Linked DNA regions of Macaca mulatta. The protein of the gene in region 1 interacts with the protein of each later gene in a pairwise test. Links are inferred from orthologs where the notes say so. Each region holds a gene or a part of one and is shown on either strand. Other genes may lie near its edges.

Region 1 (4,067 bases):
TTTAAACATTATATAAATAAAAGATAATCTCCTAAATTTATCTAAAAATTAATTAAAGAGGAAAATATTTAAATTCAGTAAGAGAAGTTGGAAAAATTTCAGCATATTTTATTTGTAGAAAAGTTGGCCCTCATTCTTCTACATCAAAAGTAATGGCGAAAGAATCAGGAAATGACTGCTTATGAAAAGAGAACCCAAGACTTGGGGAAAGATTATTTCCTAGCGATTGAGGAATGCAAGTTACATTTATGGCCACATTGGTAAAAGAAGGATGGGGCTTTTTTTTGGTCACAGTTGGTGATATCATGAGGGTTTAACTTTCCTTTAAATAGAGGTGGGATAATACAAAGTAGCTCAGCAACAGTACCTGGTGAAAGAGACTGGCACATATCCAACGAGGAGAAAGGGGAGAATTAGAGCAAACGTGATTACCTATGTTCTAGTCTCTTCTTCTACATGTCTTCCCAATTCCTTCACAAACTGTGACTAATGAATCATATATATATATATATGTTTTTAAATTAAGCCCCTCCCAACCTGCCTTCCACAGATAGGGTCTGGGGAAAGGAGGGACAGATAGGTTACCATAACTAATTCAATATCCCAATGATTCTACACCAGAAGAATGTTTCTGCACAATATTTCTCCGAGCCGCTTTATTTGTTTATCAATGAACATCCTACTGCGTATCTGAGATGTAGGTCATCGGAAATACCAGCTGCCGATCACATGCAGTCTTCATTATATTTCCAGACCCAGTGCGCTGCTGATTCCTGCACAACTGTAGTGCGTCTGAGCTGTGTGAGGGAAAGGAGACACCTGTGCCTTAGGGACGCAGGTGAAGTCCCATCTACCTTCCTGAGACTTTCGCTGGCGCTTTTCCACCCTCTCAGCGGCTCACTTCTCATCTCCATCTCCCCTGTCCACTTGGACTCAGACCTCTCTGTTTAACCTGCGCTTTTCCCGCCCTCTCCTCTGCACCTTAGCTGAAGACACAGAGAGCTCCACAGAACTGGGCATGCCTAATAGCCAGGGAAGGCTTGGGCTGCAAGAAGAAAGCGTTTGCATCTTCCGAGCTCCCCTCCCCTCTGCAGCTGCCTCCTGCCAGTCAGGCGACCCGACGTGCACCACGGCCCAATGAGGGCCCGCGGCCTTCGCCAGCGCCCCGCCTCTCCTGGCATCACCACCAATGAGTGGTTGGCGGAGGTGGGCCGCGCCCTGTTCCCGCCTCTCCAGTTAAGGCCGCTGGTGTGAGCCCGGGCTCGGCGCGAGCGAGGGACGACGGAAGGGACGGGCAGGTGTGGACGCGGGGCCACGCAGCCCGACGGCGGGAGTCGCAGGTGCTGGGTGCATGGGCCAGTGAGGACGCACGGAGATCCCCTCGCCGCGCAGAGGAGGAGCAGCGCGGGAGCCAGGCGCTGCCCCACGACCCTGCGTCCGAGCGAGCGGAACCTCGCGCTTCGCCCGGGGACAGTCCGAAGTCCGCGCTATGGAAGAGGAGAAATATTTGCCTGAGCTGATGGCAGAGAAAGATAGCCTGGATCCATCTTTTGTGCATGCATCGCGCCTTTTGGCAGAAGGTAGGACTTGCCCCCACCGATGGGCACAAACCGCCGGCTGCCTATTTTACCCTTGGCTTGATTAGGGGAGTGAAGTTGGGGAGGGACTCCTGTCGCCGCCTTCGCAGAAACTGTCCCCCTGAAGATGCTCGTCTCAGAGCTCGGGCGGACAGACCCCGTTCTTGGGGCGGACAGCAGTGCTCCTTCTCCACGTCTTAATTTGGAGAAGACCAAAGCTACGGAGATCTAATGGCAGTGGCGATGTGACCTGTTAGGATCGTTGATAGAGAAACCGTAAAGTGTAACGCGGTCTACAGGGACATTTTCACTTCGCTGAGGGAGGGGAAAGCAGTTTGGAAGTCAATGGTGATCAATGTAGTGTTCTAAGAGCTTTTTGGCTACAGATCAGTATTTTTATTTTTATTTTTTACTGCATTTAGGAAGTGATGTTTGATGCCCTTTAATCAAAGTCTATCCTATGGAAAGTGTTAGAATTAACCTATGCATTAAACTGTGCATGTTCTTATATGTATGTTAATGTAGTAAGTAGAGGCTAAAGTGCTTATACATTTATTTGAAGTGTGATGATTGGGTACTCTGCGAGATACTGGTCCCTGGGAACGCTCTATAATTGATCAACTGTTTTACCAAGTGTGCATTTTCTTTTGTGTACCTGTAATGTTAAAGGAGATTTCGTTCCCAGAGGAACATATATGTCTTGTCTTTTGCATTGCTTTGAAAGGTTAAAAAAAAAAAAGACACACAAACTTTATTAACCAAATTACTCCGTTTATGTTATAATAATGCCATCTAAATACTCAAGACACCTATATCTGTAGTTATTTACACATGCCTTTTATAAAACAGCTGCAGATTTTTTTAGATGAATGCTTCATTAATAATGAATTGCTTCATCATCAAATTGGTTACAGTGCAGTTTTGTAGCTAAGGTTGTTACGGACTTACATACAGCAAAAAACTAAAAGGGATAACTTCCTCTACCCCAGCTCCTCAGTATTAAAAGATTTTTTTGAGACTTAGTTGTACCAAGGAAGAATAAATTCTGCTCCTCAATATATGATTTAAATCGGTGTTAGCTATATTTTTAATTGATGGATTGTTATTTATGTTAACAATAAAGTGTAAGGTTTTTTTTTATGTTTAAATGCTAAACAGTTAGAAAAAGATTTATAGTCAAAACATGGAACATGTGAAATAACTGAACTGTTTTCAGGGAAAAAGCTTGTTTTATAGATAAGTGGGAAGGTGAAATACAATTATGCCTACTACTTTGGTTACTGAATGAAAAAAATAGAAATTAAACTGGAAAAGTAAAGTCAATAAAAATGCACTTTTTTGCTTTCTCAAAAAAGACAACTACATAAAAATAATAGCAAAATAATGAGTTAATAGATGTTTAAGATTGTTTGAAATGATTTAAAAGGCAAGTCTTACCAGTCTTCAGTATCTTTAATATATTTTGAATAGTCTTCAATGTATTTTCCAGAAATTTCTTTATGTAGCTGATAATATGTCTTTAAAGTGAAAGAAAAAAACACTTACAAATTGATCGTTCTCTCTGACCCGCTAATTAGAGTTCTATTTGAGACAAGTGGCTCAAAGATTAATTCATCAGTCATTAATATGAGTTATTGTACTTGAAGGCGGTCAAGCTAAATAAATGCGTACAAGAAACTCTTAACAGAGTGCATAAGTATTTCTTTGTCTGGTAAAGCAGTCAGAGAAGGCTATGCACTTGGTTCCTTAACATTTTATCTTTCCTAGGAACTTGATTTCTTGATATAATACTTAGGAACATGTTCTGATGTTCCTTGTAATTTGATTTTTTCCCAGCAGGGGGAAGCATGCCCTGCTTTTGTAAAGAATTAGAAGGAAAAGCTCCTGAATAGAGGAAAGCATCTAAGTAAGAAACAAAGAGGGTACCTAAATTTCAGAGAAATCAGCATAAGGAAAAGAGAGTGGAGGAGGTTATAATAATCTTGGAGTACATAAAGAGTTATGCAAAAGGATGCATAAGTTTTAGATTACCTCAGTACTTGGGACTCTTTACATGTGCTTATTAAAGAGTGTAAGATGATTGTTCTTGGAATCTCAATGATCTTAATGTATATTTTATGGTATAGATCTTTCATTATCTTTCCAAAGGCCAGTTGCCAAGATGTCCACACTTAGTTGCAGATGTCTATAGAAGAGTATCATTGAGGTGATTTTATTTCTTATACTTGAGAATGCACTGATTGAAGGCAGTGGCTATAAATAAACCTGACATAGATATTCATTTGGAGAGAAGGTGCATACTGAAGTACATTTCAGTCAGTACTGTGCAGACAGTGTCAAGCCTGAATGAGTAATAAAAATGATACAGATGATTCAGTTCTTCAGAATGATTTTCCGGAAGCTAATATCTATAAAGGCAGTAATATAAACCAATGAGCTTTCACAATGATTTATTTTGCATTTTGATTGGTGATAGATGCAAATCAGTGC
Region 2 (4,150 bases), on another chromosome or scaffold:
GGCAAATTATTGGTAATAGAAACCTACCAATTAAAGTAATACTGTATGCGTTGTACTCTCACCTGAATGTTTGCCCAGTCTAGTCAGTGTTTAGATGTGAGTTTTCTTTATTCACAAGACCATTTAATAATATATGAACTCCTGCTGAAATTACGTTATATGTATTTTTTAATCTTAATACACACCCAGTGTATTCCAGAGACACCTTGAAAACTACTTAAAATACTCAAAGATATTATATTTCTCTCTGAATCATAGCCAACCTATATAATTAGAAAGTGGTACACAGTAAGGGAACAGACTCAGTAAGTCGTAAACCTGAACTAGTATTTTTCACAATTACGTATAATAGAGCTAGATATTCCCTATAAGGCCTGTCATTGTATAATTTGTAATTTAGACCATTATAAACTTTAAGACTTGTAAATTGTGAAAGTACTGCATGCAGTAGCAAAGCTATGGTCAGATATTACTGGCCAAGTCTTACATAGAAAATATTTTCAGTTTTTTTTTAAATAGATTATATCTTGTGTCTGCTTAATTGAAAAGGTAGGAATCAATTTAAGATATACTTCACTATTTAGCTTTATATTAGCTTCAGTTTTGTCAGAAGCCATTTTTCTAGACAAATTAGAGACTTCTGATTTAAAATGGAGTTGAAGATTACTCTCATTTGAACAGGAACTCAAAAGTTGGCAACATAGCATAAAATCTGTACCAGACCTCTAAGTTTCTTGTTATTGCTGTTGTCTTTCATGTGATAGGAATCTGGTTGGGGTTTTTTAAATACATAGTTATTATTTCGAATTATGTGAGTACTTAATACCATTTGATGTCATTAGATACACCATTGTTTAATATGGAAAAAGGGGAACAAACTATACAGCAGAAAGCAGTTTTATTTCTTCATTCATCTGAAGTATGAAATTTGTAATGTATTTACTTAGCTTTAAGTCATATGAAAATTGTCAGGTATTATTTTGGGGCATAGATTTCTTAATACATGGTGTTTATTATTCACTTCAATTTTTGTAAAGCAGGTATTTTTTGTTTTTAGTAAAGCAGGCTTTAACTCTACAAATTTGCTTTTCTTTAAGTTTGTGTGATTCTGCTTTTCTCCCATATCTAGTTCTATATGCCAGCCTTCTCTAATGAAAACAACTTATCAGTAGTGTTTTATTACCTAACTCTACTATACCATATGCCAGTCTGTATTCTTGGTTATCTGTCTGTGAAGGTTGTAGATATTAACAGGTCATATTCTTTGTTTATTAAAAATAGTAATAACAGTTTTCTTTCCTGCATGTTATTCCTGAAGATTCTATCCAATGGAATTCAACACAAGACACACTAACAGGAGGCCCTGCTTCATGGGATATTGGAAGTTTTAAGACACTGAAATCCAGCTATTACTTCTTAGTAACATAAAATAGAATTATTTACCTTTGCCCTTTTGTTTTTTAAGCTCTCCTTATCTTCCCCCCCCACTTTTCTTCCTCACAAAAAGAATCTTACAACTGCTTTCTAAGAGTTTAGAAAACAACCTTTTCCTCCCCTTGGAGGGAACGTGTCAGGTCTAGGGCTTGGCAGGGTATTAAAGCATTGACGTAATTAGTTTAAGACAAATTATGTGTTAACTAGAAAACGAAGGGACATTTCTTACCAAGCTGTGACAATGTACTACCTTAACTCAATAATAAAAATTGCCCAAGTGACAGTGTGTCTCTGCTGAATGGCTTTTCTTACACCATCTGGTTGTCATTGTAGTTTTTTGTTGTTGTTGCTTTCATTTGAAATGTGCTGATGATCTTGTTTTTATTCCGTAGCATTGAACAGATGGGTTGATTATTCTTTTCAGATATTAATAAGGCAGCGGAAGGAAGAAATATGAATACGGCTCCATCAAGACCCAGCCCCACACGAAGGTAAAGTACCCTGAAGCCGTGAGTTACCTTGGGAGAGTTGGGCTCTGGGGAGTTAAGCCCAGCTTCGTACACCAAAGGTCTTTTCTTCCCCCCAACAAGTGAAACGCTCAAGCAAACAATAAGAACATGAACCCTGTGTGAAGGGCCTTGCTGCTTTTTTTAAACATACATCAGGAGATACAGAGGAAGCTTTGTGTTTTCGGTGGCAAATCCAGCAAGTTCAGCTTGCAACATGAGTTGCAGGCAATTGGAAGAGGATAAACCTCTGTCTGTCCCCAGCTCACGTGTCAGTGGGAGCCTCCAGAGCAGAAGGAGTGCCCCAGAGTCATTGGTGTATGCCATGCTGCACTGCAGTGGGCAGCAGAGATTCGACTCTTCATTCCAAATGGCTGCCGGTCCAGATGTTAACCCAGGTTTACGGAAAGTGCTGCTTGAGAGATTACCGCTGTGCCTGTGCTGCAGATCCCCTGTTTGCTCACATACTTGGGTTACCTGTTTGAGGGGAAATAAAAAGGGCAAAACACTCCAGCTCTCGAAAGTCTCCCTTTTTCTTAGCTTTCACGGAAATCGAGGGTGTTTTCCCAATGTATTCTTCCTTCCAGTGTATACAAGAGAGATAATCCTGGTGCGTACCCTCAAGATACATATTAAATTGGTCCCTTCTCTCAAAGAAGAGCTTTATTAATGGTACCATTTACACCATAAATAAAGATATCCTATTCAGTTGTTCTGGCCCCATAACAGCACACAAATGGATGCAGTTTTGTGTAGAGGGCAGACAGATATGATATATTTCATACAAATGATATATTTCATATCTGATGTCTCTTCAGGGCCCAAATGGATTAATGGATTTTGCCTTGCCTCTAAGTAAAAAAGCCAATTTTCCCCAGAAACATACCTAAACTACGTACCACAGTAAACTGCATTTCCTACAGTGAACTGGACAGTGCTGCATACAGTGAATCCTCATCTGTACTAGTAGCTCCACTGGTCACCTTGTGAACTCAGCTAACTGAGCATTACGCATAACATAGAGCTGTCCTGCTTTTGGACAAAAACACCTGTATTTTGTTACCTACTTATAGGAAAGAATGTCCACTGTGTGTTTCATGTATATACTCCTACTTGGATGTGAAGTTCTAGCTACTGGGAATAGATTACGCATGCCCACTCTGCAGAGTTTAAGCAGACCCTAAGGGCAAAGTAATGCTGCTGGTTTCATTCAGTTGGAGTCTTTGTCCACTCTGCCTGTGCAGCAGAGTTGAGTCCAATACCATAGCTTCAGCTATACCACAGCTGTCGTGTGGATTCTCTGGCCATTCGTTGGTTTCTCTGCGGAAGTGGGCATGTAAATTGGTATTCTGTCTGTTCTCTCTAAGGAATGCCTGCAGCTTGCAGGTAAATACTCTGTTGGTTGATTTGTGTGTGTGTGTGAGTATCCTGAAGAACATAAACAAATCCTGCAGAACTTCAGCAGTTCCGTATAATGTCTACTTTCATTAGCCTTCATCTAACCGTGCCACAGATCTTGGGCAGTCCTATCTTATTGTCCCAGTACAGAATGGAATACAGGTGGATGAGAGTTGCATCTAATGGTCAGAAGTACAGGGTTCCCATTGGAAGCTTTAATTGTCAGGTGGCTTGAAAGGAGATATGGTGTGTATCCAGTTTCCAAAGAGCGCTACCGCTACCGTGTGTGTTTCCTGGTAACTTACCAGGAGTGTGGAATTTGTAACTTTAAAAGACACTGACTCCACTAGTAAAATCCTCCCCCTCTATGTTGTCTCCATGATACTTGGTGATCTTTGGTGATCTCTGGATAATGTCTGTGTGTTTCCACAGGCGTAAAAAACAGTAACAACAAACAAGCCACATTGCAGAACAGAGAGTAGATCCTGTTTCTGTTATGGATTGAGAAGGGTATTTTATATCATCCTGTTGATGATACTTAACCAAATGCTTTTAACATTTCCAGTTGGTTGTAGATGTTCAACAAACATTGCAGTGTTGGGGAATGACCAACTTCCCTGGTTGGAACCTAGTAATAGCCATTGCCAGAGCATTAAATTAAAAATATTAATTTCACCCCAATCTAGAAATAGTTTTATGCTTTTTTTTTCTTTTTTTAATAATAGTCCCTGCACAAATAAACATACAGACAACATTGGAGAGGGCCTTATAAAATGAGCTTCTAGCCAGGCACAGTGGCTCACACCTGTGAT
Region 3 (3,500 bases), on another chromosome or scaffold:
CAACAAGTATATCAGAACATATGACTTTAGTACCATTCAAAGCTTTTGTAGGCTTTACTTATTTAACCTAAGCTTTCATATCTCCAAAGCATCTTTGGGACTACTCTTGACATTGATTTTAGGGCTAGGTTGAGATACTACTATGAACTTCATTTTTAAAATTACACGTTTCCAATAAAGTAAAAAGTTGGTAGAGATTGGTCATACAACTTATTACCAAACTTGTCTCTAATGACATATAGCTATTTCAGAAAGTAGATCTAATGGTAAAGGATAAAGTATTTCCATCAGTGAAAATACTTCATATGATATAGGCCATCGAGGCAGCCCTGAGAAGTGGATACTTGGTCATGAATAGCACTGATAAATGCTAGAGTGTCAGAGTGTGTCAGAATGATTTTGGCAAGTTTAACAGTTACAAATTATATTACCTTGTCATCATCCATTTATGTCAGTGATAAACTGTGCTATTTTCATAATTTCTGATATTCTAAAAGTGTTTAGCATAAATCCCTTGCTATACTTGCTGTGATGAAGATGATTTCAGTGGGACATGCTAAAATGGTAAATATTAGCAACTTAGTATTTATTTTTTAGGTGTTTTTCTGATATGTGACTTTTTATATGAATATGGGTATGCTTTTTTCTTATGCAAATATTTTATTTTACTTGGACTAATTAGTAAAAGAATAATGAAATGTAAAATTTATCCATTTTAGAATGCACTTTGAAAATATTTATTGTGGCAGCACTATGAAATACTGGTTATAAGACATGTAGAATAGTACTTCTACAATTTTTTTGTGATAGCCTTAAAAGTATTTAGAATATCAAATACAATTTTGATTTGCAGATTTCCTTTGAAAAAATGTATTGCTGACATGTTTGAAATTAAACTTTCTTACATAAATCTTCATTGTTTTAGTTTCTTTTTGGAAGTACTGGATTTAGCTTATAAATTATATAAGTATATAAAGTAAGTATAGTGTATTGTTACAATTTTCTTCTTTTCTTTTTCAGGCTCAAACTGCTTTTTCTGCAAACCCTGCCAATCCAGCAATTTTGTCAGAAGCTTCTGCTCCTATCTCTCAAGATCGAAGTAGGTTTATACTTTGAGTTCATTCTCTGTGAACAGAAATATTGTTATCTTCTTTTGCTCAAATAAGGAATCCAAGATTTTTTTTTCTTGACAGGCTGCATAAAATTGGTAGTTAAGCTCAAATAGTTATGAATAAGAAAAAAAAGTTTACTTCAAAAAATAACCCTTTTTCTAATTAAGATAGTGAACTGTGGATATGGGGATGTATTTCATGGCTTAATGAAAATTGATTTTAGACTGACTTGTAAATCCCTAACATGTGGCTGATTCATTTATGAATGAATTATATATATGAATTCACATGTAAGAACTTTTTGAATTCACATTTAAGAACTATCATCATGCTGCTGCTGTTGAACTTTCTGAATTGTCTTCTGTCTTTCCTATGGGAGCTTCTGAAATTTCCAACCACCTCCTCTTTGGGAAGCCTCTTAAATATTGAGGCCTTTATTCATTCTCTGTATCCTGTCTTTAGTCCCTTTTTCTTCAAGGTTCAGAGGGATTCAGGACAGAGCTTCTAAATACTATGACTTAAGATACAAAATAAGTGTTAAATAAATTTTGTGGCCTGTCATTTTGTCTTACAACAGTTTATAACCTTGCCTCATAGAAAATTCATTTTAAGTCACAGATAATTTAAGTCTCATGTAGAAAAGAGCTTTTGGAAATAGTATATAACTACTACCAGGTGAAATAATGTTAATATTTAAAAATACCATTTGCAGGATTTCATTGGAATGTAGTTAAAATTACTAAAATTGATAAGACACTAAATAAATTTACAAGCTTTCAAAAAAAGATTGTTCAGAAGAATCATTCCATAGCCCTGTTTACAGAATGAGTTATAAAGTAGCTGACTTGACAAATAGATATTTTGGTCAGTTGTTCTGAATTGGTAAGTGGTATTCTTACTAAATTCCTAATCAAGTAGGTTTATTTTAAGAAACAGGAAAGGCAAGATAGTTTATTTGGAAAAGTTATTTCTACTTTTGAGTGTTTAGGAATCTGGTTGTTTCAGTTCAGATGTCTTCATATTTTATGAATTTTAAACATTTTCTGTATTTTCCATTTCTAATGGTTACAGAGATGGGGAGATGCCTTTCCAAATTGCTACTTTAAATTCATTCTAGATTTTATAACTTAAGTATAATTTCGTTAATACACAGAAGCCCATAATAAAAGAAGTTTTCATTTTGTGTATTCTGTAAGTACTTTTTAATTTATTCATTCATTCATTTACTTATTAGATCTCTATCCCAAACTATATCCGGAGCTGTCTCAATACATGGGGCTGAGTTTAAATGAAGAAGAAATACGTGCAAATGTGGCCGTGGTTTCTGGTGCACCACTTCAGGGGGTATGTACAGTGTAATTAATTTTGAATTATATAAAACCATACTTTACATATTAATATAAGCTTTCCTGTTTGTGGCTAACTCAAAAATATACAACAGCATTGAACCTCACTTCGCAGAAATTTTAGACTTCCTTTTGGATATCGTTTCTTACATAGTCTACTTCATTTTGTGCTACACGTTTTGAGTTTATTAGGATTTAGATTCAGATACCTTTTACTAGTTCATTCTCCTTTGTCTTCTGCATTTAGTCATTTACTAAGTCCTGTTGATTCTGTTTCTGTTTCTTGTATTCATTTTGTCTGTTTTTTATCCATTCTAGTCCTACTATAACCATATTCAGGGTTTCTATACTTCTAGCCTTCATTATTATAGTACTCTCTTAAATTTCCTCTAGTAACTTATTTCGATGGTACTAAGCTGTTGCTAAGTTAATCATTCTGAAATACACATATAGGTCTATCGTATCTTTGTTGCTCATAATCTTTTTTTTTGTTGTTGTTGTTGTTGTTGAGACAGAGTCTCACTCTGTCACCCAGGCTGGAGTGCAATGGTGTGATCTCAGCTCACTGCAACCTCTGCCTCTTGGGTTCAAGTGATTCTCCTGCCTTAGCCTCCCAAGTAGCTGGGACTACAAGTGCGTGCCACCATGCCCGGCTAATTATTTGTATTTTCAGTAGAGACCGGGTTTCACCATGTTGACCACACTGGTCTCAAACACCTGACTTCAGGTGATCCACCTGCCTCGACCTCCCAGAGTGCTGGGATTACAGGCATGAGCCACTGCGCCAAGCCTTTGCTCTTTAGTCTTTTAACATTCTTTTTGAAATCCAAAGCTCCATGTAATTAGACTCCATATTCTAGCTTAATTATAATGGATCTGATAACCTTTTATTAAGGTTATTGCTATGACCATAGCACTTTGTACCACTTATTATAATTGTAGTTAAATCTGTGTCTGTCTTGTTGCCATATCCCAATGCATATACAGTACCTAGCATGTATGTATTTACCAAATATTTATAGAAAACTTGTGTTAGTGGTGA
Region 4 (4,101 bases), on another chromosome or scaffold:
CATGATCTCAGCTCACTGCAACCTCTGCCTCCCGGGTTCAAGTGATTATCCTGCCTCAGCCTCCCGAGTAGCTGGGACAAGTGCCTACCACCACGCCCGGCTAATAATTATTATTATTATTATTTGTATTAGTAGAGACAGGGTTTCACCATATTGGCCAGGGTGGTCTCAAACTCCTGACCTTGTGATCTGCCTGCCTCGGCCTCCCAAAGTGCTGGGATTACAGGCGTGCACCACCACGCCCGGCAAGGGCTCAGTTACTTTCGAAGAGAGCAAAAATTGCTCTAAGGACTGGGATTTACAACCTCTGAAGATCGCAGCATCCTGTTTTGTTTTGTTTTGACTGAGGCTGGAGTGCAATGGTGTGGTCTTGGCTCTCTGCAACCTCCACCTCCCGGGTTCCAGCGATTTTCCCGCCTCAGCCTCCCGAGTAGGTGGGACTACAGGCGCGTGCCACCACACCCGGCTGTTTTTTTGTTGTTGTTGTTTTTTGGGGTTTTTTTTTTTTGTATTTTTAGTAGAGACGGGGTTTCACCATGTTGGCCAGGCTGGTCTCGAACTCCTGACCTCGTGATCCGCTCGTTTCAGCCTCCCAAAGTGCTGGGATTACAGGCGTGAGCCACCGCACCCGGCCAGCATCCTGTTTTGTAAAAGCCATCTCAGGCAGTCTATTGGTGGGAAAATTAAGGGGCTGGCTTCACGGGGGCAGTCAGACAAGGGTGAGGGCTGAAGTCAGAGATGAGAAGGAATGACGCCAGGGAAAAACGTCGCATGACAGGCGGCTAGATGTTGAGCACAGAGGAGAAAGAGTAGGAGTCAGTGTCAAACCTTAAAACGTACGGTCTGACATCACGGACTGTGAAGGGTGATGACATCAGTGACGTGGGGGATAAAATGTCGGGCCTTTAAAGGGTACGAGGTTAAAGAACTAGAAGGTGAAGGAGGTTGACATCAGAGAATGGCAGGGACCTAGAGGAAGACGATTGCGATGGTGAGGAAGACATCAGATCCAGCGGGGGAAACGATGGCAAGGACGGGAGGATGATGTCAGGGACGGCAAGTAGTATGAGAGTGAGAAGGTTCCTGTGTGGGAGAGATCAAGGCAGCTCAGCCGGTTGTGGGGGGGATGCTGACGTTTAGGGTGCACCATCTGTGCAAAAGTCGACCCCATTTCCGGAAACACCCCATTTCGCAGAGAATACTGCTCCCTTCACTTTGCTGTCCCTTCCTCTCCCCCGCCACTCCGCCCCTGCTAGCCTCAGCCAATCAGCATGCACGCCGGGACGCGCAAGGGGAACGTTCCGGGACGTTCTTGCTACGTACTCTTTATCAATCGTCTTCCCGCGCAGACCAGTCCTTGTTTTCTGTGCTCCTCCAAGCTCGCCGTCTGTCCGGGTTTTTTACGTTTTAATTTCCAGGTAAGTTGCGTATGGCCTGCGGAACGGCGGCTCCTCGCCACACACGCGCCGCGCCGGCCGAGACCGGGGGATAGTGAGTGGGGAGAGTAATGGCCGCTGACACGTAGGCTTGGCTTTCTCTGGGGCGGGCGGGTCCCGTGCTGGGAGGTGAACATTTCGGTTAGTGGGAGGCCAGCGCGCTGTATCTGAGTGTGAGGCCCCTCGGGAGGGACTGGGTGGCGTCGGTGGTGGCAGTGACCACGCGACAGCCGACACTTGCTTTCCTTATCCCACGTGGCCGCCGCCATCTTGTTCTGCCGGCGTTGAGGGAACGCAGGGATGTTCTGGGCTTGCGCAGTGACACAAAATGACGGGCGTGGCGGCTGTGGATGTGTGAGCATGCGCAATAGTGGCCCCCTAATGGTGGCTGCGCTGAGCCAGCTCCGCAGATTACTACCTTATTGGCCTTCTTTCCCAGTTTCTCTGTAGTTACCCATGTTTTGTTCCTCTTTTTTTTTTTTTTTTTTTTTTTTGAGACGGAGTCTCGCTCCGTCACCCATGCTGGAGTGCAGTGGCGCGATCTCGGCTCACTGCAAGCTCTCTCGGCTCACTGCAAGCTGTGCCTCCTGGGTTCACGCCATTTTCCTGCCTCAGCCTCCCGAGTAGCTGGGGTACAGGCGCCCGCCACCACACCCGGCTAATTTTTTTGTATTTTTAGTAGAGACGGGCTGTCACCGTGTTAGCCAGGATGGTCTCAGTCTCCTGACCTTGTGATCCGCCCGCCTCGGCCTCCCAAAGTGCTGGGATTACAGGCGTGACCCACCGCGCCCAGCCATTTTGTTCCTCTTTTTTATTTTCTGTACTTCTCTCCGCCTTCTGTCTCGCTATTTTCTCACGTCTCCATTTTGTTCCTCCTTCCTGCCACCATTCTTCATGTTCTTCCCACAGGACTTGAACTGCCATGTCCTCTGAAGAAGGAAAGCTTTTCGTGGGAGGTCTCAACTTTAACACCGACGAGCAAGCGCTGGAAGACCACTTCAGCAGTTTCGGACCTATCTCTGAGGGTGAGACGGGCCAGACTCTCAATGGGGGTTGGTGAGAGAAAATCTGGGATCCTTGTATTTCAAGGAGTATTAACCGAAAAGTTAGGACCCACGCTTCCATGTTCTTTTTCTTCTTAAGCCTATGGTGTCCACTAAGGATGAGGGGAACCGTCTTCGGGATTGGTGGGAGGGCTCCGTTTTCCCTACCTACCGCCATCTCCTTTTCGGACCACCCTTTGCTACTTAACCTTTGTGGTGCTGACTGGTCCACATCGCTCCTTCTTCTCTCCCTCTCATAGTGGTCGTTGTCAAGGACCGGGAGACTCAGCGGTCCAGGGGTTTTGGTTTCATCACCTTCACCAACCCAGAGCATGCTTCAGTTGCCATGAGAGCCATGAACGGAGAGGTGGGGCCTCCTATCTGCAGAGGGACCTTGTCCCCATCTGCGGCTTCCTTCATTCTTTTTGTTTTTCCTTCTGTGTCTGCTCGGGGCAGCGTGGCCACCAAGCCCCGCAGTGCCCACTCACAGGAGCATGACTGCCTTTTGTTCTAGGGGGTGGAGGGCAGCGGCAGACAGAGCCTGGCCGCCTGGGAGGCGACGACTGGTCCTGCATGAGGCCGAGAAGCCACCTGTGGATGGTTGACCTGCCTTGGGCTTAGGTAGTAGAGTCTGCAGACCTGTGGGCCTGGCCCGGAGAGGACCTCGTGAGTCTTCTGACATGGACTCTGAAGCCTCAAACCAAGAGAGGTGTCTGTCTAGCCCTGATAGTCGGGCAGCTTAGAGGAGTGGGGAGGAGAACTCAGCCTGAGTTCAGTCAAGATGTAAGTAGTAGCAAGGGGAACATGGTGCATTCAGGTCATTTTGTGTGGGATTCTATAGCTCCTGATGAAACCATTCTGGGGTAAAGGAGCTTATTCTGGAACATGGCACCCAGAACCTGGTGCCCAGCAGGAATTTTTGGCCTCTTTTGCCCACTTGCCCTTGCCTGCTCTTCCCTCACCACTGCCCTGACTGCCAACCTATCCTCCTTGTGTCTCCCACACTTAGTCCCTGGATGGTCGTCAGATCCGTGTGGATCATGCAGGCAAGTCTGCTCGGGGAACCAGAGGAGGTGGCTTTGGGGCCCATGGGCGTGGTCGCAGCTACTCTAGAGGTGAGTGCAGTGATAGTTTTGATCATGGGGTGAGAGGGAGAGTTGCCTAGGTGAGGACAACTGCCATTTAAATATTTTTCTGTTCTAGGTGGTGGGGACCAGGGCTATGGGAGTGGCAGGTATTATGACAGTAGACCTGGAGGGTATGGATATGGATATGGACGTTCCAGAGACTATAATGGCAGGTGGGTAGCCTCGGGGCTGGGATGTTCTGCTATTGATTCCCTCTCCTTAAGAACTCAGCGCCTGGGTTTTCATGCATACCACATCTTGCTGTTACTAATGTGTGCCTAAAACGAGTATGAAATTCAGCATTTTGAGTTAATTGTGTGGTCATATGGTTGTAACATGGTAAAGTATACACATGTTGTGCTGCGTGGGTTATATAACTATATTGCTTTAACGTGTATTATGATTTAAATACTGCATATTATGATTTAAATACTGCATATACATTGTATGCCATAAAACTGTTTACTATGATACTCATGCTTAACATATCGTGTT
Region 5 (4,223 bases), on another chromosome or scaffold:
ACTCCGGAGGCTGAGGCAGGAGAATGGCGTAAACCCGGGAGGCGGAGCTTGCAGTGAGCTGAGATCCGGCCACTGCACTCCAGCCTGGGCGACAGCGCGAGACTCCGTCTCAAAAAAAAAAGAAAGAAAAAAAAAAAAAAAGAAAAATCCCTTATTGAGGCCGGGCATGGTGGCTCACGACTGTAGTCCCAGCACTTTGGGACACAGAGGTGGGCAGATCACTCGAGGTCAGGAGTTAGCGACCAGCCTGGTGAAATCCCATCTCTACTAAAAATACAAAAATTAGCAGGGCGTGGTGGCACGCGCCTGTAATTCCAGCTACTCAGGAGGCTGAGGCAGGAGAATCGCTTGAACCTGGGAGGCGGAGGTTGCAGTGAGCCGAGATGGTACCACTACACTCCAGCCTGGGTGATAGAGCGAGACTCCATCTGCAAAAAGAAAAAAAAGAAAGAAAGAAAGAAAGAAAAATCCCTTAATTGAGCAGGACACATAGCTCATGCCTATAATCCTAGGACTCGGGAGGCTGAGGTGAGAGGATCACCTGAGCCCAGGAGGTCAAGGCTGCAGTGATCCGTGATTGATTGCGCCACTGACTCCAGCTTGGACAACAGAGCCAGACCCCGTCTCAAAACAACAACAACAACAAATCAAAAAGCGAGAAAAGAGAAATCCCTATGTAGGTCTGCCACAAAATAAACACGGATGGCAGGTGTGGAGGGAGGACATGGAAGCGCAATCGAGGACGCAAAGGTGCACCCCCCGCAAGAAGGATTAAACAGTATTTAGGCCAAGTTGGGAAGGGGAGGAAGTGAAGAGGAAAACATGGACGGGCGGTGGTGTTGGCCAGCGCAGGATGGGAGAGGAATGTGCTCCCAATACTGGCCTCCTGGGCCTTGGCGGGAGCATTTACGGCACTTTACAACTCTCAGACTGGGCGACTGGCCATGAGGGGAAAACCAGTGCAAATTCCCCAGGCCCAGTTGTCCGGAAGAAGACGAGGCAAGTCCGCGTAAAGATTTTTAGACGATGCACCTTGCCTAAGGAACAGAGGGGCAAGGGAATTCGGAACCCAAATCCCCTCTAAGACCCTGATTACTAACTAGTAACCCAGGAGGTTGCAGCTTAACCACTACGGGAACTTGAAGTCCCGGCACGCCCCGATAGGGCCATTGTCACGCCCCCAGGGGGCGGGGCACTGCTTATACCGCTAAGGTAAAGTTTGCTGAAGTTCACCCTAAGGCTCCGCCTCTGATCCCTGCGCAGGCGTAGCTCAAATCTTTCACGCCCTCTAGTCGTGAGCGGATCTGACGCCTGACGTAATGGCGTAGACGCCATTTTAGCCGGTCCCACAAGCACTGCATGTGGCGGCCATTTTGTTTTGGACACCGAGCCGGAGCTGGCGGCCGCTGCAGACGAAAGGCAAGAAAGGGCAGGCCGGGTGAGCAGACGGATCGGCCGGCTAGACAGCCAACCAGCAACAACGAACTGAGCTCGCATACTACCGCTTACGCATCTGACCAACCGCCCATCTAGCTAACCCGAGCCCCTCCACCGTCAACTCAGGTTCGGCCGGTCCCCGGCCCGCCTGCCGGAGCCGTGGTGGCAGCCCCGGGAGGAGCACTGGCGTCTGTTTCCTTCGGTGAGTTTCTGTAGGGAGAAGGAGCGGGGTGGCGGGGTCTTGGGGAGCGGAAGGGGCTGGCGGACGCGGAAAGGGGGTGGTGGCATGTGGACACAGCTACGGTGTTGGAGCGTGGAGGCCCGGGGGAGGAGGCGGAGCCCCTGCGAAGGGGCGGGGGAGGGGCTGAACTGGAACCTGGTGGCGGGACTGATGGAGGTTGGGGTTTGATAGGGATTAAAAGGAAACTTGGGTTGAGCAAAAGTGGAAGTCTTGATAGGGCTTTGAGGATGGTAGGGAGATTAAGAAATACAAGACTTTGAGGAATGTTGGAAATTAATGGCGGCTTTAGGGTTAAGTTTTGTGGAGGGCTCTTTGCGAGCTCATTCCCCAGGTGAATTTAGAAAACCTTTCCTACGCACTCCCCGAGATCATTAGTTTATTGTTACAAAAGTCTCTACTTGATTCTGGAGTTGAAAGCCAATTTTTAAACTAGGCTTTTTTTTTTTTTTTTTTTTTTTTTTGAGACGGAGTGTCGCTCTTTTTGCCCAGGCTGGAGTGCAGTGGCACGATCTCAGCTCACCACAGCTTCCGCCTCCCGAGTTCAAGCGATTCTCCTGCCTCAGACTCCCGAGTAGCTGGGATTACAGCCATGCGCCACTACGCCCAGCTAATTTTGTATATTTAGTAAAGACGGGGTTTCTCCATGATGGTCAGGCTGGTCTCGAACTCCCAACCTCAGGTGATCCGCCCGTCTCGGCCTCCCAGAGTGCTGGGAAAACAGGCGTGAGCCACCGCGCCCGGCCCTGCCTATATTTTCACTCTAGATCAGTAGTTTTCAACTTTAACTGCACGCTAGAAGCACCTAGGTAGCTTTCCCTCCACCCCACAATTGTTCATTTCCAAACCTCGTTACTAGAGATTGTGGTTTAATTGATCTAGGCCCAGATACCTGTATTTTTTATTTTTTTAATTAATTTATATTTTTATGGAAACGGGGTCTTGCCATGTCGCCCAGGCTGGTCTTGAGCTCTAGGGCTCAAGCATTCCGCCCACCTTGGCCTCCCAAGGTGCTGAGATTACAGGCGTGAGCCACCGCGCCCTTTGAAAGCTCCTTGGATAAGTCATATGTAGTCAAGGTTGAAAATGACTGCTCTAGAGAAAAAGCCAAACTCGACCGGGCGCGGTGGCTCACGCCTGTAATCCCAGCACTTTGGGAGGCCCAGGTGGGTGGATCGGGTGAGGTCAGGAGCTCAAGACCACCCTAGCCTACGTGGAGAAACCCCGTCTCTACTAAAAATACAAAAACAATTCGCCTGGCGTGGTGGCACATGCCTGTAGTCCCAGCTACTCAGGAGGCTGAAGCAGGAGAATCGGTTGCACCAGGAGGCAGAGGTTGCAGTGAACCGAGATCGCACCACTGCACTCCAGCTTGGGCGAGAGAGTGAGATTCCGTCTCAAAAAAAAAAAAAAAAAAAAAAAAAGGCCAGACTCCATACTTTGATTGCTAAATTGGGTTCTGCCGTTTTTGAGAATTTCCTGGGTATTTTCTGGGCCTTGGAGTTTGTTTGGGGTTGGTTGGTTGTTTTAAAGAGATGGGGTCTCTCTCAGGCTGGAGTGCAGTGGCGTCATCACAGCTCTTTGCAGCCTCCAACCCCTGGGCTGTAGCACTTCTCCCACATCAGCTCCCCCTGAGTAGCTAGGACCACAGGTGCTGGCCACCATGCACTGCTATTTATTTATTTATTTATTTTCTTAGTAGAGACTCGGTCTCACTTTGTTACCCAAGCTGATCTCTAACTCCTGGCTTCAAACCATCCTGTGCCCTCACCCTCCCAAAGTGTTAGGATTACAGGTGGTGAACCACCACGCCCAGCCACCTTGAAGTTACAGTAATGTGAGGTAACTGCCATAGAAATTTAAGCACTTTTGCACTTTTGCTGGGCATGACACCTCATGTCTGTGATCCCAGCACTGGGAGGCCAAGGTGGGAACATCCTTTGAGGCCAGGAGATTACAGCTGCCGTGAGCCACTGCAGCCAAGATCATGCCACTGCATTCCAGCCTGAGTGACAGAGTAAGACCCTCTCTCAAAAAAAAAAAAAAAAAAGAAAAAGAAATTTAAGCACTTGAAATGTGCCCTCATGTGCTCTTAAGTCATCAGTGATAAGGCCTTTTTATTTATTGTTGACTTGGGCCTTGCCACTTATAGAAATGATGTGGTCACTATTGTGATTTGCTCATTTTACGTATTGTCCTTTGTAGATTCTCGGGATTTGAAGATGGCTGCACAGTCAGCGCCGAAAGTTGTGCTAAAAAGCACCACCAAGATGTCTCTAAATGAGCGGTGAGGCAGCCAACAGCAACTTCAGCTCCTTCCTAAGAAAACATTACTTAACTTGGCCCTGGGGTCCAGTGCACAAAGCCAGTTTTAAGCTAAATACCAACAGAAGGCTACAGACCTCTGTTCTTAGTTGCATCTCATGTGGTACACAAAACAAATTGGGCGGTTGTTTCAAAACCCCTTATCAGTAGACTTTTATGTTAAGCTGTCTGAAATATTTATTTGGTGGGATGTATTTTAAAAGACTCCTAACACCCTCCCTTT
Region 6 (4,221 bases), on another chromosome or scaffold:
GAGGAAGAAGCAGCAAGGGTGTGCCTGCACAGAAAGCAATGAAGAGGCAGCAAGACAGCCATCTGCAAACCATGGAGACAGGCCACAAGACAAGCCAACACTGCTGGTACTTTGATCTTGGACTTCCAGCCTCGAGAACTGTGAGAAAATACATTTCTGTTGTTTAAACCACCCAGTCTGTGGTATTTTGCTATGGCAGTCCTAGCAAACTAATACATCATCCTCAATATTCTTCCTCCTCTCCTTAGTTATGAAGAGAACTCCTAATTTTTAGCTGGGTACATGGCTGCCTACATTACAGACTACATTTTCTAGCTTCCCTTGCAGCTATAGTCAGTCATGTGATTACATTTTAGCCAATAGGAGGTAAGAAGAAATGTCAAGTGTGCCTTCAGGTAAATGTCTTTAAACGGAAAAGTCATGACCTTCTTTTTCCTGCATCCTTTTTGCTGGCTGGAAGGTGGACCTGATAACCGAAGCTTAAGCAGCTTGTGTGGCTCAGAAGGCAGAAGTCACATGCCAAGGATAGATACAGTGTGAGATACAGAATGAGCCACCTTACCACCTCTTCACAGACCATTTCTGAGCTTTCTATGCAAGACATAAATAAACTTGCAGTTTAGTTAGGCCACAATTTTGCAAGTTTACTGTCACCCTTAGTCACACTTAACCCTAACTGATACTGTTAGTTTCTCTTTCTACCTCCTCCTTTTCTACCCTTTCCTCTCTCCTGAAAGGAGAAAGCTCTCTTCACTGACAAGAGCCTCAGGCAGAGTGGATTAACCTAGTAAAAGTTAACAGGAAATGTTGATTATAAGTGACCTCCTGCTAGATTAACCAGGCAGAAAGTAGACAGGTAAAACTGTTACCCATTTTCCTTCTATTCTAAGTCCAATCCCCACTCCTGTCCTAATTAACTATTTAACTTCTTCCAGATGACACTGCTCAAAACCTCCAGTGCTCACAGAAGGAAATCCAAACTTCGAAGCTTGGCACTCAGAGCCCTTCACAATCTAGCCATAATCTACCTCTGCAATTTTTTTAACACTAAAAGCAATACTAAAACCAAAGCAGAATATTTATTGTTTGACCCACACACTGCAGGGATGCCAGCTCCCTGCCTTTACCCATGATGTTTCCCTTCTAGATGCTTTTCTGGTGCCATGACCTAGGGTCTGAAGACAATTGAATTTAAGGCCCAGCTTCATTGCTTCCAAGTGATGTTAACTTGGTTACTGCATCTGTAAAGTGGGAATAATACACTGCCTCACATGCGGGTTCTGAAGTCAGACACAGACTGCATGACATTTGGTCTTGCAAACCATGAAACACTACAGTCTCATAAGGCATGACTGTCCTGAATCTGGCATTAGGGTGCATCTTGGTGCTGGTGTCTCTTGGTTCTGAAGCTGCTAGGTAAGCCCCTTGACCTCAATCTCTAATTCTCATTGAGCCAGCACACTACTAAATGCTTTCCATGCATAACCCCATTCAATCCTTACAAGAGTCTCATGAAACCTGCATTATTATTAACATTCCCACTTTATAGATGAGGAAACAGACCCTGATTTCAACTCAGTTCTGACTTCCCAGTCTAAGCCTCTAGCCTTCCACATAACTCCTCAAGGGCAGAAGCTGTATCCTTCCTTACTTTGTAACTGCCCGTTGAGGATAAGAATTATTATGTGTTCTCTGGATGGGAACCATTCATATCAAAATGCCCCCCACCCCATGCCCGGTGCCCAGTAATTGAGTGGATAACTACTGATCTCTCCAGGGCAGTGTTTCCCGAACAGCGGCCTGGGGACCCCCTGCATCGAATCCCTCTGGGCGCTTGGGTCTTCCAATGCCTCACCTGCTAAATCTTTGTTTCTGAGATGGTGTCTGGTATCTGCCTGTGTAGGAAGCTCCAGAGTGACTTTTTAATTGATATTGAAGTTTGAAAACCACAGTGAGTCCATGAAGATTGCACCACAGATGCCACTCAGAGAGAGTAGTAGCACCTGAGGCCTCCCTTCCCCCAGCCACCACTTCCGCCCCTGAGCTCCAGGCAGAGGCCTCTGGGAGTTTAGATGGCTGAGGCTGACAAAGCTAGCTTCTGGGTTACCCTCAGACCACCTGACGGGAGCCTTTTTCCCCAGAGGCTCTTAGGGGCTGAGTAGAGAACCCCACCGTCCAGCCCCATCCCCCAAGCTTGAGCTGCCCTCTGGATGCCCTGCCAAATCGGGAGTCACCTGACCCAGAAGGAACAGACAGGGGAAGCAGGCAGATGGGTGTCGCTTTGGAGGGGGTGGAAGTATGCATGGTGGGCAGGCCAAGGCTGAGCCTGAGGAGAGTGGAGCTCCCTCTATAAGGCCAAGTCTCCCATGCGGCGAGTTGGGGCACTCCTGGGGACGATGAGTCTGGCGAGAAGAGCTGAGTCGTCAAGCTCAAGTCTTGACCCTATCTCGGAAATGCCTCAGGTTCCCTCGGCAGGCGAGAGGGCGAGGGCTGTGCTTAGCGCGCGGGGTGGGGTCCCGCCGTCCTCTCCCCGAGCCTCGGCTTTTCCGCCCCGGGGCCCCGCGGCAGGCTACGCCCTCTGACCTGCAGGCGGCGCGCCCTGCCCACCCCGCGCGGTCAGCCCCGCAGCATCCTCCTGCTCGCGCCTCTCCCGCCACCTGTCCCGCTCCCTGCCGCGCCCTGGAGCCCGCACCTACCCACGCCGTGCCGCTCCTTGTCAGCTTTACGCCAGGGGGCCATGACTGAGCCGGGGCCTCGCCTCCTCCCGTGGGGAAGCCGGCAGGGGGTAGCTGGGCGCCGCAGGGCCCCACTTCCTTCCTCTTTTCAAACTCCTCTCAGGGCCCGCCCTCTCCTCCCTCCCCGGGGCTCCCCGCTCCCTCCTCCCTCCCGTTGGGCAGGGGCACACTAGAAGGCTGGTGCCCCGTAGGCTGGGATACGCCACCCCACCCCACTTCACGCAAAGCTTGGGGACCACTCCCACCTTGTCTCCTCCCCAGGCGAGGGGGGCAGAGGCCAGTCCCCACCTGGGGCTCCCCAGACCGCCACCGCAAGTGCAGAGAGTTTTCTGATTGCCGTGCCTAGGGGACTGAACAAACCATTTCCTTAAGTCCCCTCAGCGTGAGCTTTGGTGTCAGATCTGGGTTCGAATCCAGACGGGGACAAATGAATTCATTTTTCTAAGCTTCAGTTTTCTCATCTGTGAAATGGGATACTAGTACCTACTTCATATGATTATTCTAAGGGTTACAGAGGCAATGTACACAGCAGGTGACATGGAGGTGGATCGTTTACAGCCGCCTTTTTTTTTTTTTTTTTTTTTTTTGAGATGGAGTTTCTCTCTTGCTGCCCAGTCTGGAGTGCAAACACGATCCCGGCTCACCGCGACCTCCGCCTCCCGAGTTCGAGTGACTCCTCAGCCTCCCGAGTAGCTGGGATTACAGGGTTGCACCACCACGCCCGGCTAACTTTGCATTTTCAGTAGAAATGGGGTTTCTCCATGTTGGTCAGGCTGGTCTCGAACTCCCGACCTCAGGTGATCTGCCAGCCTCAGACTCCCAAAGTGCTGGGATTACAGGCATGAGCCACCGCGCCTGACCCATTTACAGCTTTTTATCGTTTTGGTGCCACAAACCCGTTGGAAAATCTGGTGTAAGCTCTAGAAGTTTTATTCTGAAAATACGTAAATACACTATTTACCAACATCACTGCAAGGTGAAGGGTGCTGTCACAGCCAGCAACGGTGGGCCCCAGGAAAAGAGCCCTAGAGTTAGGCTAATGGAGACATTTCCTCGAAAAATCTCATTTTTTGCTCTGGGAACAGATTCTGTCCAGAAAAAAAATCATGTCTGATCCACAGTGATAAGGCTGAATTTAAGTTTTGCTGAGTTTTCTTTCTTTATTCATGACTCTCATTACCCCTTTCTGCCTTACACTGAGAGTCATTAAGATACATAGGCAGTATCACAGCTGAACTGGAGTGACAAAAAATTATTTCGTTTTACCTGCAGTTATTTTCTGTTTTCTAGCAGCGTAAGTTAGGTAATAATGTCTTGTACAGACAGCAGTGGCATTAGGGTTCCCCCAGATGACCAGAATAGGAGATTATATATACACATACATATATATACATACATATATAAATGCATACATACATATATATATTATACATATACATATATATGTGTGTGTGTGTATGTTATATATATATGAGAGAGAGAGATT
Region 7 (4,232 bases), about 29 Mb from region 1:
AATCATACACTATGTCTTTACTGAACATAAAGTCCTCAAAGTTCATCCATGTTGTAGTATGTGACAGCATTTTCTTCCTTTTAAGGCTGAATAATAATCCATTGTATGTACACGCCACATTTTGTTTATTCTTCCATCAGTGGACATGTGGGTTGCTTCCACCTCTTTGTTATTGTGAATACTGCTGCTATGAACATGAGTCTGCAAATATGTCAAGACCCTGCTTTCCATTTTTTTTTTTTTTTTTGCTATATACCTGGAAGCAGGAGTTCTGGGGTAGTTCTATTTTTAATTTTTTTTGTCATACATACATATTTTTAATTGCTTAAGAGGAATCTCTTCATATTGTTTTATATAGTAGTTTCACCATTTTATAATCCCAGCAGCAGTACACAAGAGTTCTAATTTCAAAGTGGTATATTTTTATCTTGCATTTACTTGACGATTAATGATATTGAGTACTTGTTGATTTAGACTTTTAGTTCATTTAGAGCTCCATTTTAATAAGGTGTCCTTTTTTTTTTTTTTTTGGTCGATTTTTCAAATGGCTTGTCTGGAAGAATCCTTTATATATTATAGATAAAGGATCTTTATTGGTTATATTTGTTGCAAATATCTTCTATTGTATAGCTTCCTGTTAATTTCTTAATGGCGTTATTTGGCAAGTTTATATTTTCTTTTCTTTCTTTTTTTTTTTTTTTTGAGACAGTCTCACTCTGTCACCCAGGCTAGAGTGCAGTGGTGCGATCTCGGCTAACTGCAACGTCCGCCTCCAGGTTCAAGCGATTCTCCTGCCTCAGCCTCCTGAGTAGCTGGGATTACAGGCGCACACCACCACATCCGGCTAATTTTTGTATTTTTTAGTAGAGATAGGGGTTTCACTATGTTGGTCAGTCCAGTCTTGAACTCCTGACCTTGTGATTCGCCCGCCTCAGCCTCCCAAAGTGCTGGGATTACAGGTGTGAGCCACTGCACCTGGCCGCAAATTTATATTTTCTAATGGAGTTCAATTTATCAATCTTTCCTTTATGGTTAGTGTGTATACCTACATTTCTTATCTGTTTAAGAACTCTTAGCTACTCTTAGAAAATACATTTACTTTCTAGAATAATTATTCTCTTACCTTTTATACTTAGATCTACAGTCCATTATACAATATGATTATGACTACAAGGTGAAATTCCATTTTTTAACATGAATATCCAATTGATCCAATATCATTTATTGAAAAGACCAACTTTCCAGTTCCATCTTCATCATAAATGAAGTGTCCACACATGTATGGGCCTGTTATTGGACTCTTCGGGACATAAGTCCTGTTGACTTATGTGTATCATTGTGTCCAAACCGCATCGTTGTAACTACTGTAGCTTTATAGTAAGTCTTTTTTCCTTCTTGTTTTTATAGACAGGATCTCACTATGTTGCCCAAGTGGCCTCAAAAACTCCTGGGCTCAAAGGATCCTCCTACCTCAGCCTCCTGAGTAGCTGGGACCACAGGCATATGCCACCATGCCCAGCTTACAAATCTTGATATTCATAGTACGCCCTCCCACTTCAAGATTGTTTTGACAGTCTCTCACCTTGATATTTTGCATTTCCCTATAATACTGTGTATTTCCACAAAAACATTATGGGTGTTCTGACTTGGAATGCATGAAGTCTATACATCAATTTGGGAAGAAGTGACATTTTTACAACATTGAGTTTTTCAGTCAGCAAATATACAACTTCTCTCCATTCATTTAGGGATGGAATCCCTGACCTTTTGATTTTTAAGTCCTTCCTGGGTTTTATCCCCTCCCTTGCCGTCTTATCCGCGACCTAATACAAGGATCAGGGCCCCTTCCTCCTCACCTGACTTAGGGTCGCCAGGTTTTCCATTGGCCATGGGGGGAGGGCCCAGAAGGCTGGGTGGTCCTAAGAGCAGACATGAAAATATGGTCATCAGAATGGATTAAAGGACTGATGATTCTGTTCTTAGGCGTTTTTCTTGTATTACTCATTTCTTAATTCAACCAGTAAAGTCAGGTATATTTTCAGCAGTCTTAGGAGTTCTCACCCCATCTATCTGCTCTTTTTTCTGCAAAGCTGTTTCAGGGTTTGCAAAAAGTAGATATTCAATCAAAGGCGATAATGCAGGAAAAGATACAACTTTTTCTTTTCCTCACCGTACCGTCGCTATCCAAAACAACCTAAGTGTCTCCAGACATAAACCAATCCCTCACCTTAACTGCTGGCCAGTCAGTTCTCTTCTCCTTTCACTCGGCCAGAGGACTAGTTTAGAGAAAGCGGCACCTGTACCTTTTCAATCAAAATCCGGATACAAACTGTCAACCCAGTCATCGCAATCTGCAACATCTCTACTGCCCCTTTCCCCTACTGTTCTGCGGCTGCGCAAAAGAGCTCTTTACTCTCTCCACCCCCGCGTTCCAGAAAGGTTTGGGGCCGTATTGAGGTTGACGGTTCCAGTAAGAGAACTCCTGGTTCAAGGCTCCATTTGGGACAGCCCTGCTGCCATCCCTACCCAGCGCGTGCGCCCTTCCTCCTTCCGTTAGAGCCCCTTCCTTCGCACCTTATTAGCCCCTAGCCCTTCGCCCGGACGGGCTTGACAGGCATGTGCACATCCCTCCCTGACCCCTCACCGATGGGACTCCCATCCTCCTCATCTCCAGTCTCTTCCCGCTCGGGCAGTGGGGGTTGCTGCTGTGTCGGTGGCTGGTGCTGATTCTGCTTCTTTCGTTTCGGCATCGTGGCTGCGGCAATGGCTGCAGCGGGATTTGGAGGGTAGTGAGGAAGGGGCACGCGGGGATTCTGTTTCCGCTTCCGGGGGGTCGGTGGGCAGCAATGCCCAAGCTCCCACCATTCCACTTCCGGAAGGTTGCGGAGAACATCTGTGGCGGCCGCATTCTGGAGTAAACTGCCTCTCTCCGTCTCTGCCAGGCATGGCGGCAACCTCACACCTTCCTTTTGCTGCGTTTCTATAAATGCTTTGAAAAAATTCCGCTCTTCTTCCCTCGCTGGAAAACACCACAACCAGCTCCTCAGAGTGTGTCACAGAGTCAACAGGCTCTCGGGCCAGAAGGCCTGAGAAGAGGACTGTCGCACCGTAAGATCGCCACATCCGGTCCTCGGTTACTATGGTAACAGCTGCAGGCACAACTTTGTGCCCTTTGACCTCCCTCCAAAAGCCCTTGTCCCGCCTGGGTTTCGCTTCTCGCCCGCTTTTGCACTTCTGATCTGTAAACCTGCTCCTTATCATCGTTCCCACAAGGAATTTGGGTCCCAGCAGGTCGGCAGCCAGGACTCTTCAGACCGCCGCCCTCCCCTAAAGACCTCTGACCGTGCCCCCGGTGTAGCCCAGCAACCTGGCTTCATTCCCGGGACGCACCGTCTCGGCTTTCCACTAAGGTCAAGCCTGGGGGTTGGGAGTGTAGCCTCAGCGTGTCCACTCCTCCTCTCCCCTAGGTAATAGGCCCCGCCCTCCGCTCCGCCGCCCCCTCCAGGTGAGTGGTAGCTTCTCCCGGGAGCGCAAGGTAGTGATGACACGCGCTCCCCCCTCCTCCGAACGCGAGTTGGTAGCGTCCGTGACGAAGTTAGCCTGGTCCTCCCACGCGCGCCTCCTTCCTCGCCGCCGGGGTGCTCTCTCGGTGCTACTGGCTCTCACGTGCCAGTAGCCCACCCCGCATCATCCTTTCGCCTCGCTCCTGGAGGGAAGTGACTGTGTATCTCCCCTGTCCGCCTTCCATCGCCGCCGCGGCGGCAATTCGGTCGGGCCCGCCCGCTGACGTCACCTGCTAGCTCCGCCTCCTCTAGGGTCCCGGGCCCCTGCGGCGGGGACTGCCCCGGGGGGCAGTCAGTTGAGGCGGCAGGAGCTCGGCGGAGGGCGGGCCAGGTGACTGGTCCGGGCCATGCCGAGGAAGAAGCCCTTTAGCGTGAAGCAGAAGAAGAAGCAGTTGCAGGACAAACGGGAGCGGAAGAGAGGTCAGTGCGGGAGCTGGAGGAGGAGGCGGGGCTCGGGCTTCCGCACAGCTGGAAGGAGGGGTGTGCCCGCTGCACCTCTGGGGGTCGTGGGAGGGTGTCGTGGGACCGCGCCAACCCTCGCGGCCTATCGCGGAGGGGATCTCCCACCCCACCCCCCCACATCTGGAAGGGGTGGGGAAGGATGGAGAGTTGGGGGAGGGGAATCCCTCCAGCTCGCACGGGGCGCCGTCCCTACTGCTCCCTGGAGGA

Evidence for each region.
Region 2: the proteins of KHDRBS2 (region 1) and NCOA5 interact in a two-hybrid assay, tested with the Homo sapiens proteins (2 studies listed by BioGRID). The two-hybrid records come from large-scale screens. The link is inferred for Macaca mulatta from reciprocal best matches to the Homo sapiens genes KHDRBS2 and NCOA5.
Region 3: the proteins of KHDRBS2 (region 1) and SDCBP interact in binary tests that used the Homo sapiens proteins (3 or more experiments, as listed by UniProt). The two-hybrid records come from large-scale screens. The link is inferred for Macaca mulatta from reciprocal best matches to the Homo sapiens genes KHDRBS2 and SDCBP.
Region 4: the proteins of KHDRBS2 (region 1) and RBM3 interact in binary tests that used the Homo sapiens proteins (3 or more experiments, as listed by UniProt). The link is inferred for Macaca mulatta from reciprocal best matches to the Homo sapiens genes KHDRBS2 and RBM3.
Region 5: the proteins of KHDRBS2 (region 1) and CHTOP interact in binary tests that used the Homo sapiens proteins (3 or more experiments, as listed by UniProt). The two-hybrid records come from large-scale screens. The link is inferred for Macaca mulatta from reciprocal best matches to the Homo sapiens genes KHDRBS2 and CHTOP.
Region 6: the proteins of KHDRBS2 (region 1) and DOCK2 interact in binary tests that used the Homo sapiens proteins (3 or more experiments, as listed by UniProt). The two-hybrid records come from large-scale screens. The link is inferred for Macaca mulatta from reciprocal best matches to the Homo sapiens genes KHDRBS2 and DOCK2.
Region 7: the proteins of KHDRBS2 (region 1) and PRR3 interact in binary tests that used the Homo sapiens proteins (3 or more experiments, as listed by UniProt). The two-hybrid records come from large-scale screens. The link is inferred for Macaca mulatta from reciprocal best matches to the Homo sapiens genes KHDRBS2 and PRR3.

What each region holds. Positions count from the first base shown.
Region 1 is NC_133409.1:123,216,504-123,220,570, forward strand, and holds the start of KHDRBS2 (KH domain-containing, RNA-binding, signal transduction-associated protein 2), read left to right. Parts: upstream 1-1,267; 5' UTR 1,268-1,489; coding exon 1,490-1,580; intron 1,581-4,067. UniProt on the Homo sapiens protein: RNA-binding protein that plays a role in the regulation of alternative splicing and influences mRNA splice site selection and exon inclusion. Binds both poly(A) and poly(U) homopolymers. Phosphorylation by PTK6 inhibits its RNA-binding ability.
Region 2 is NC_133415.1:98,882,257-98,886,406, reverse strand, and holds the start of NCOA5 (nuclear receptor coactivator 5), read left to right. Parts: upstream 1-1,350; 5' UTR 1,351-1,887; coding exon 1,888-1,925; intron 1,926-4,150. UniProt on the Homo sapiens protein: Nuclear receptor coregulator that can have both coactivator and corepressor functions.
Region 3 is NC_133413.1:69,251,366-69,254,865, forward strand, and holds part of SDCBP (syntenin-1), read left to right. Parts: intron 1-1,020; coding exon 1,021-1,099; intron 1,100-2,346; coding exon 2,347-2,456; intron 2,457-3,500. UniProt on the Homo sapiens protein: Multifunctional adapter protein involved in diverse array of functions including trafficking of transmembrane proteins, neuro and immunomodulation, exosome biogenesis, and tumorigenesis.
Region 4 is NC_133426.1:48,642,341-48,646,441, forward strand, and holds the start of RBM3 (RNA-binding protein 3), read left to right. Parts: upstream 1-1,301; 5' UTR 1,302-1,418; intron 1,419-2,345; 5' UTR 2,346-2,358; coding exon 2,359-2,461; intron 2,462-2,739; coding exon 2,740-2,846; intron 2,847-3,488; coding exon 3,489-3,594; intron 3,595-3,682; coding exon 3,683-3,779; intron 3,780-4,101. UniProt on the Homo sapiens protein: Cold-inducible mRNA binding protein that enhances global protein synthesis at both physiological and mild hypothermic temperatures. Reduces the relative abundance of microRNAs, when overexpressed.
Region 5 is NC_133406.1:113,398,861-113,403,083, reverse strand, and holds the start of CHTOP (chromatin target of PRMT1 protein), read left to right. Parts: upstream 1-1,423; 5' UTR 1,424-1,639; intron 1,640-3,880; 5' UTR 3,881-3,897; coding exon 3,898-3,962; intron 3,963-4,223. UniProt on the Homo sapiens protein: Plays an important role in the ligand-dependent activation of estrogen receptor target genes. May play a role in the silencing of fetal globin genes.
Region 6 is NC_133411.1:178,525,750-178,529,970, reverse strand, and holds the start of DOCK2 (dedicator of cytokinesis protein 2), read right to left. Parts: upstream 2,801-4,221; 5' UTR 2,740-2,800; coding exon 2,697-2,739; intron 1-2,696. UniProt on the Homo sapiens protein: Involved in cytoskeletal rearrangements required for lymphocyte migration in response of chemokines. Activates RAC1 and RAC2, but not CDC42, by functioning as a guanine nucleotide exchange factor (GEF), which exchanges bound GDP for free GTP.
Region 7 is NC_133409.1:152,487,934-152,492,165, forward strand, and holds the start of PRR3 (proline-rich protein 3), read right to left. Parts: upstream 2,801-4,232; 5' UTR 2,751-2,800; coding exon 2,645-2,750; intron 1,920-2,644; coding exon of another isoform or gene 1,857-1,919; intron 1-1,856. Other genes in the region: GNL1 (guanine nucleotide-binding protein-like 1), read left to right, coding at 3,911-3,983.